Linked DNA regions of Solanum lycopersicum. The protein of the gene in region 1 interacts with the protein of each later gene in a pairwise test. Links are inferred from orthologs where the notes say so. Each region holds a gene or a part of one and is shown in the gene's direction. Other genes may lie near its edges.

The links. The genes of interacting proteins can lie anywhere in the genome.
Region 2: the proteins of IAA19 (region 1) and ARF4 interact in a two-hybrid assay, tested with the Arabidopsis thaliana proteins (2 studies listed by BioGRID, with this or other methods). The link is inferred for Solanum lycopersicum from reciprocal best matches to the Arabidopsis thaliana genes IAA19 and ARF4.

The regions. Positions count from the first base shown.
Region 1 is NC_090802.1:65,646,196-65,650,270, forward strand, and holds IAA19 (IAA19), read left to right. Parts: upstream 1-1,568; 5' UTR 1,569-1,614; coding exon 1,615-1,990; intron 1,991-2,171; coding exon 2,172-2,265; intron 2,266-2,895; coding exon 2,896-3,004; 3' UTR 3,005-3,187; downstream 3,188-4,075. UniProt on the Arabidopsis thaliana protein: Aux/IAA proteins are short-lived transcriptional factors that function as repressors of early auxin response genes at low auxin concentrations.
Region 2 is NC_090810.1:59,239,600-59,243,399, reverse strand, and holds the end of ARF4 (auxin response factor 4), read left to right. Parts: intron 1-194; coding exon 195-360; intron 361-616; coding exon 617-1,359; intron 1,360-1,443; coding exon 1,444-1,634; intron 1,635-2,525; coding exon 2,526-2,709; 3' UTR 2,710-2,978; downstream 2,979-3,800. UniProt on the Arabidopsis thaliana protein: Auxin response factors (ARFs) are transcriptional factors that bind specifically to the DNA sequence 5'-TGTCTC-3' found in the auxin-responsive promoter elements (AuxREs). Could act as transcriptional activator or repressor.

The DNA.
Region 1 (4,075 bases):
ATGTTTAAAATTTGTTGCAAACAATGTGAATTAAGTAAAATTTGTTAGTTAATATTACATGATATTGTAGTTGAATAATAATCGGTCGTATCAATTATTATAAGATACGTGCACATGCAAGAGAATGTCTACTTAATTAAAATGTTGAATTTATATATTTGATAGAAGACCAACTATAATTTGTAAATAATTGACTAGACAATAGTTATATTTATGTATTAATTTCTAATCTAAGGGATTCAAAGTAAGATTTCTATGTCCCAATATTGCAAAATATTCTCATCGTGGTATCTTCTTGTTATAATGTAGTATAAACTGATTGTCTATAATTGGAGAAATTATATTCCTTTAATAACATGCTACTTATTATATGTGTAAATAATAATATTATCTCGCAGAAATTTGCCTTCTCTGCAAGAATCAAATATCCATATACCCTATTATAATTGGATATGTTCCTCAAAAAATTAATTGTCCGTGTATTAGAAAATTATAACGGAGACAAAAAAATAAATAAATTATGGTATTCTTTTTCGTAAACTATCATTTTTTTTCAAGAGAAATATGTGTATTCATTGGTTTCGAAATTGTCAATCCTAATTCAAATACATGACTATATATGTAAAATTTTTGAAATAAACATAACACTTAATTTAACTTAAATTTAACTGTATTAGTTTTGACAAAAGGTCACATTTGCCCCTTAACTAGTGAAATAGAATAATTATGCCCTCCTGTTTGATTTTAGTCCCAAATAGGCTCTTGTCCAATTAAAAGATTTGTTTAGCTAGAGACGAAATCATAATTTAAAGTACTTATGAATATGAAATTCTAGTTTTTTTTCAAGTTATTGACTTCAAAATTTATAATTTGTACGAATAAATTTCTTAAAATTAATGAGAGAGAAGGTACATAGGATCAAAGGTAAAGCAGTGCTTTCTTGCCAGAGTTTTAGGTGGCAAGAGACTTGGATTCAACTATAAAGAGAACCAGGAACGTAGGGCTTTTCCCCCTTCCGCCCGACTTCTTGTTCTTAAAAACGCTGGTTATAAGAATGAGTCATTGCCCTTCTCCTACCCTGACTGTCCAACCTGATAGCGGACAGTTATTGCGTTCCACTTATTAAACAAGATTCTATTGTCAATCACGTAAATAGCTTTTAAACCAAACTTGATTCGGCCAATCCATAAGTTACCCAATATAAACCCGTATATAAAATCTGAAGAGATTAATATATACACATACCTTATCCGTACTTGCAAAAATTTTATCCCAACTCGAAATAATTACATGTATATATGTACCTTTATTTGCACGCGTATATTAATGTGTCTACAAACATATTGGGAACACTTCATCACATGGCATGTCTTTTGTTAACCATATCAAACGGTCACAAGTAAATCTCCACAAATTATTAATGTTTTAAATTACATACCTAACATATATATTTTCCCTACCTTTGTATCTCATGTGACCGACCATTAAGTTTAGTTTACCTGCCATTGTCTTCTCAATTATTTATTTCCTATATATACTCATAAACACACACACTCATTTTTTCCATCAAAACAACAATATATTAATTTTCCAGTCTTCAAAACATAATACGAAATGGCAACAGAATTGGAAATTACTGAGCTAAGATTGGGACTTCCAGGAGGAATATTGGAGAAAAATGAAAAGAAAAGGGTTTATTCGGAAATTACTACTAGTGATCGAAACAGCAGCAGCAGCAACAACAACAACAACGTTGAGGCTAATAATTACAAGTGTCAATACAAGAACGAAGTTGTTGGTTGGCCTCCTGTGTGTGCTTACCGGAAAAAGAACAGTTTTAACGGACGTGAAGCTGAATCCAATAATAAAATGTACGTCAAAGTTAGCATGGATGGAGCACCGTTTTTGAGGAAAGTTGATTTGAGTACTCATAAGGGTTATGATCAACTTGTTATGGCTCTTGAAAAACTCTTTGATTGCTATGGAATTGGTTAGTATTTCAGTTTTCTATATTAACATGCATTTATTTAGGCAAAGTGAAATTATTATTATTGAAATGTACGGTTACTGTACTATACTAATAAACATAAATCGAGCATCTTTTTCATAAATATAAGCAATTTAATTGCTAGTGTTATATATGTTAAATTTGTATTTAAATGTGTCAACAGGAGAAGCATTGGAGGATGCAGATAAGTCAGAGTTCGTTCCAATCTATGAAGACAAAGATGGAGATTGGATGCTTGTCGGCGATGTTCCATGGATGTAAGTATTTCACTTTCTCTTTATGTTCTATTCGAGACGACAGATTCAGAATTTTTATTAATTTAGGAACATATTTAATATAATACTTGAGATTTGAATTTTGAAATTGTCGACTGAATTTTAAATTCAGTCGACCTCTAATCTTATGTTAAAAAAAGTTCAAATTTTATATATTAGTAATTTTTTAACGCGATCTGCCCCTCGGGCACCTTATCCCTAATTGAATCTTCTTTAATTAATTGTAAAACTAAACTAATTAATGTGTTAAAAGGGGTGTAAAATTTAGCTTATAGTACATAAATTGACCAATTTAGTCAAATTTAGGTGATTTAAACTAGCATATATTCACTGATGGATCAATTTTGTCCTTTTTAAGGCATAGATCAAAACATCATTATGCCGATAAATTAGAACATTGAAACCCGATTAAATAGGGATTCGTGCCAGGAAGGTTAAAACTTCCTAACAAAGGCAGCTTTATACCCAAGACAACTAAAATCTGAAACCTCTTGGTTAAGAATAAATTACTACCTACCACACTATAACAACCTTGATCGGTTACTCATCAAACATTTTGTAGTGTTAGAAAAAATCAAAAGAAGTCGTATTAATTGGAATTTGATTTAGCAGAATGTTCAGTGAATCATGCAAAAGGCTAAGGATCATGAAGAGATCAGAGGCAAAAGTGATAGGGCTTGGAGCAAGAGACTTTCTCAAGGGAATGTCTCAAGAGAAATAGAGTGGATGATTCAAGCTATATTTTTACATTAATATATAATTGTAATTGTAATCTTAGGTGTGATAAGACACCCTAGACTTAAAATCAATTTCTGATTTGATTTCCTCTTAATTAGCTTAATTATTGTAGTAATCAGTACCTTATTTGCTCTTAAATGACAATTTTCGTATGTATAATAAGGCTATATGTGTAACCAACATGTTGTGCTGAAATTGTGGCTACCATCTAACTTTCCCTTTGTTTCAATTTCATATCAATTGTCCACGTTACTAAAAAGTTCTTTTTTTACATTATTTGTATTTCTATTTTCCTTATCTTTTTTAAAAAAATTTATTTTTTCTAGCTAGTTTTTTCCTTATCTGTTCACCATGTTGAAGTTGGATTTATCAAATATCTATAACTCGATTAAGGTGAACAATATAATATCGAGTAGACAATTAGCATACACTAATTAGCTATACATATTCATGCATACTTATGTAAAAATGGAAAGATTCCTGTATCACTCCAACACACTTATAAGTCCAATGTATTTTTTTCTTGGATCATTAAATACTGATGAACCTTAATTTTTATTTTTATTGGGGGGATAATAAAGCAGTGATATACCATATGAATATACTTTTGTTTCACTACATATCACAGTATTCAGTGTGGAAATACATGCACACGGACTAATTCTTACTTCCACCGAAATTAATATCCAAAAAAAAAAAATTAATTATCAATCAAATCATGTGTTGCGAATATGTAATTATTCTAAAAAAAACTTCATAAGAATTAACCATAGAGATCACCTATGAATCACGTAAAAGGTAGATATTCATTTATTTTTAGAGAAACATTTCAAATTTGAGTTATGAAACTGAAATCATTTTTATATAAATTATATAATAAAAGATATTTTACCTATATGAATCTGAATTAATTGAGCTCCAAAAATAAATAGGAACACTATATTTTATAAAGTCCAAAGAGTGTATTAATTTGGTAGATACAGAATCTTCAACCGATACATAATTTATTTTTATATTAATATATCAACTAACTAAACTGAAATATTGGCCCATA
Region 2 (3,800 bases), on another chromosome or scaffold:
CTAGTTATAAGTTGCTTGCTTGATTTTTTCGTGTCAAGGCTAATAGAGTTTGCTATCGGCAATACAATTAAATACATTCACCTATTGTATATTTTGAGTTATCTTCCCAAACAAAACTGTTACAATAAGTATAAGGCCTATTAAGCAACTTATAAACTTTTTGATATATGTGCCTATGTCATCAACTTTAATAGGTCAGATGGGATGAAGATATAATGAGTAATCATCAGGAACGGGTTTCTCCTTGGGAAATTGATTCTTCAGTTTCCTTACCACCACTGAGCATTCAGTCCTCACCAAGACTGAAGAAACTGCGGACTAGTCAGCAGGCACCATCAGTACTGGACAGCCATTTTGCTGGTACTGATCTAACTTTTCTAAATCCTTTTGTATTATGTTGTCATTATGTCGTATGGGTACTGCGTTTGGACTTTTTTTATCCTTGAATCGACGGTCTGTTGGAGACAGGCCTCTCTACGAAGGTCTGCGTACACGTATACACTACCCTCCCAGATCCCACTGTGTGGGATTACACTGAGTATGTTGTTGCTGGTGTTTTCATTAAGTTGTGATTCCACTGAAGTTCATTTTTATTCCGATTTTGTTATTTTATCAGGAGGGAGTGCTCTTTTAGACTTTGAGGAGTCAATAAGATCCTCCAAGGTCTTGCAAGGTCAAGAAAATTTAGGTCTGATATCACCTCCCTATGGTTGTGATAAACCAGTCCGCCCACTGGATTTCGAGCTGCAAAGAGTAGCTCGTCACAATCTCATGCCAAATGGTGTAGAGAACATTATTGTTGGTGACTTTGTGAAAACTCAGCCTCCAACAACCTACACAGGCTTTCTGGAATCCAATAGGTTTCCAAAGGTCTTGCAAGGTCAAGAAATTTGCTCGTTGAGATCCCTTACTGGAAAAGGTGATGTTAATTTTGGTGCTTGGGGAAAACCTGAATTTGGTTGCAATGTTTTCGGCACATATCAGAGGCCGAGAGCCAATTTCTATCCTCTCGCTTCTGAAGGGGCGAGGAATGTGTTTTTACCTTACAATGCGATGTATAGAGCTGGACAAGATCCCGTGGTTCCCTCCTACAGTACTAATTTCCAAAGAGAAAATCCTACCTTGAACCAGAATTCAATCCAAAATGTGGTTAGGAGGGAAGAAGTTGGAATGCCAAAGTTTGTAAATGAGCAGAGGCCACCGGAGATGTCTAAAGTGTCCATTCCAGAGAACCATTTCAAGAATGAAAATGACGACTCCTTCAATGCACAGGCTCCATGTAAACTGTTTGGCTTTTCCTTGACGAAAGAACCATCTACTCCTAGCTCGCAGAGTTCTGGTAAGAGGAGCTGTACTAAGGTAAGTTTCCATAAGTTGCACATAGCGAATTGGAACTGTTTTTTCTTTGGACTCTATTGCTAATATTGAATAAATGGCGTGAAGGTTCACAAACAAGGCAGCTTGGTTGGACGAGCCATTGATCTCTCGAGATTGAATGGCTATGACGACTTGCTGGTTGAGTTGGAGAGGCTTTTCAACATGGAAGACCTCTTAAGAGATCCCAACAAGGGGTGGCGAATCTTGTACACTGACAGTGAGAATGACATGATGGTTGTCGGAGATGATCCATGGCAGTAAGTCTCTTTCTCATGCATCTCCGTTTCTCATCACTGTCTCAATTGTTTGATACTACATTCAAAAAATATTACTTCTTGGTTTATTAATGCATATGAATCACTAGAACCACACAAATTTCTCTTCCAATTAGCTGACTTCCACTAGAAATCGGAGTTTTGGATATTAGCTAACCTCCACTTGAAATCTAAGTATTCTTTTACTTTTCTTCTCCCAGGTTAAGATAAATTTCTTTCCTTGAGCTGAGGGTCAATCGGAAACAGCCTCTCTACCTCCAAGGTAGGGGTAAGGTCCGCATACACTTTACCCTCCAATGTGTGTTTATTATGGAGGAAAAATGCTTCTGAGAAAATGTTCTTCAATTTTCCCGTCTTTGATTGATCAAAAAATTTGGAGAACATTTTCTTCAAGTAAATAAGTCCTTTAAATATGAGGAAAATGACTTCCTTAGTCGAAGTAGGGAAAACAAGTTCCTAAAATAGCATACCATACTGATTTTCTCCATTCCACCCTCCCAACACACCCACACCCCATTCTCGCCATTCTCGCCACTCCCACCACACATAATGTTTCCCTTGAATTTATACACAAAGCTACTTATCACACACAAGAAAATAAATAATAAACACTTTTTTTCAAGAAAGCATTTTCTGGAAAAAACATTTTCCTTCATACCACACACCTTAAATTAGAACTTGTTATTTTGCAACTTCTGCCGAGCAGCAAAATCTTGGTTCAGGGAAAAAGTAAGGGTCTGTACACACTGTCCTCCCCAGACCTCACTTGTGGGATTACACTTGTTGGATATGTTGTTCGAAAAAGTATAATTTCCCTTAATAGATTGATTTGCTTATCAGTAACTTGTGTACCTTCTAAATGACTTTTCGCAGTGAGTTCTGTGAGGTAGTATCCAAGATCCATATATACACTCAAGAAGAAGTGGAGAAAATGACTATTGAGGGGATCAGCGATGACACTCAAAGTTGTTTGGAGGAGGCACCAGCAATCATGGATGTCTCAAAGTCTTCTTCAGTTGGCCAGCCTGATTCATCTCCAACTGTAATCAGGATTTGAATAAAGTTTGAATGGAGTACCTATGAATGTTCATGCTTTTTTTATGCTATGTTAAGTGATATATGTGATGATAATAGTACTCTACCTACTACATGTTCTTGTTATGTTTAATAAATTATTGTCACTTAACATGTTATGTTAAATGTTGGAAGTCTGTAATCAACTACAATGGGAGCTTGTATGATGAAAACTATGTGGTGACTCATATGTCATTATAACTCTGAATTCTAATTATGTTTCACTATGTATAATATTGAACATTGTATGAATACCCCTTTCTTTCTAACCCCCACCCCAAAGTGGTATGCAGTTGCTTGAACCTAGCGCGCACGAGGTGGTGCTTGACCAAAAGGTTGAGGGCAAGAATACTTGGTGATGATAGTTTAAGATCAATGTAATATTGAGACAACTAAGTACATGATAGAAAGATGTTGAGCTCGACTTAGAGGGCAAGTCCAAGAATACTTGGGTGGATATAATTGAAGATCGATGTAATTAAGACAACTATGTAACGGATTGGACACAAACGCACCAAAAAAGAAAAAGTGGAGCCCACCTACCAAAACCAAGTTGTGTACTTGTGTTTGGTAAATAAAAATATTACCTACTTAATCTTAGAAGGTTATATTATTCCATTTTGTCAAATATTTTATTTAGTAGGAGTATTATGGATTGAAAATCTGGGCTAGACAACACTACTTTGTGAAAAGAGTGTTTTTCTAATTACAAATTTGTGGGGAAGGGGAGTTGGTTTTTAGTGACTTAGTGCCATCTAAGGTCTACTACCTAGATTGCATTGGTAGTGGCAATAGGTCACAAGTACTATAATACTATCCTATGTCTATGTGGGCTTACTATTTCAATATTTTAATGAAGTGGATGTGGATCACCAAAATGATATAAAAGCACTAAAACCAATTTTCATAGGCTATATATAAATCTCATTTAAAAAAGAAAAAAGGAAAACAAAATTCTTTATTGTCCCCCCAAAAGTGTTTTTCTAGTATCAGCGTAAATTGTCTACATTACACACCCTTAAAATAAGATAGCCTTTTCTCGAACCCTGCATGAACACAGGATGTTTTGTGCTA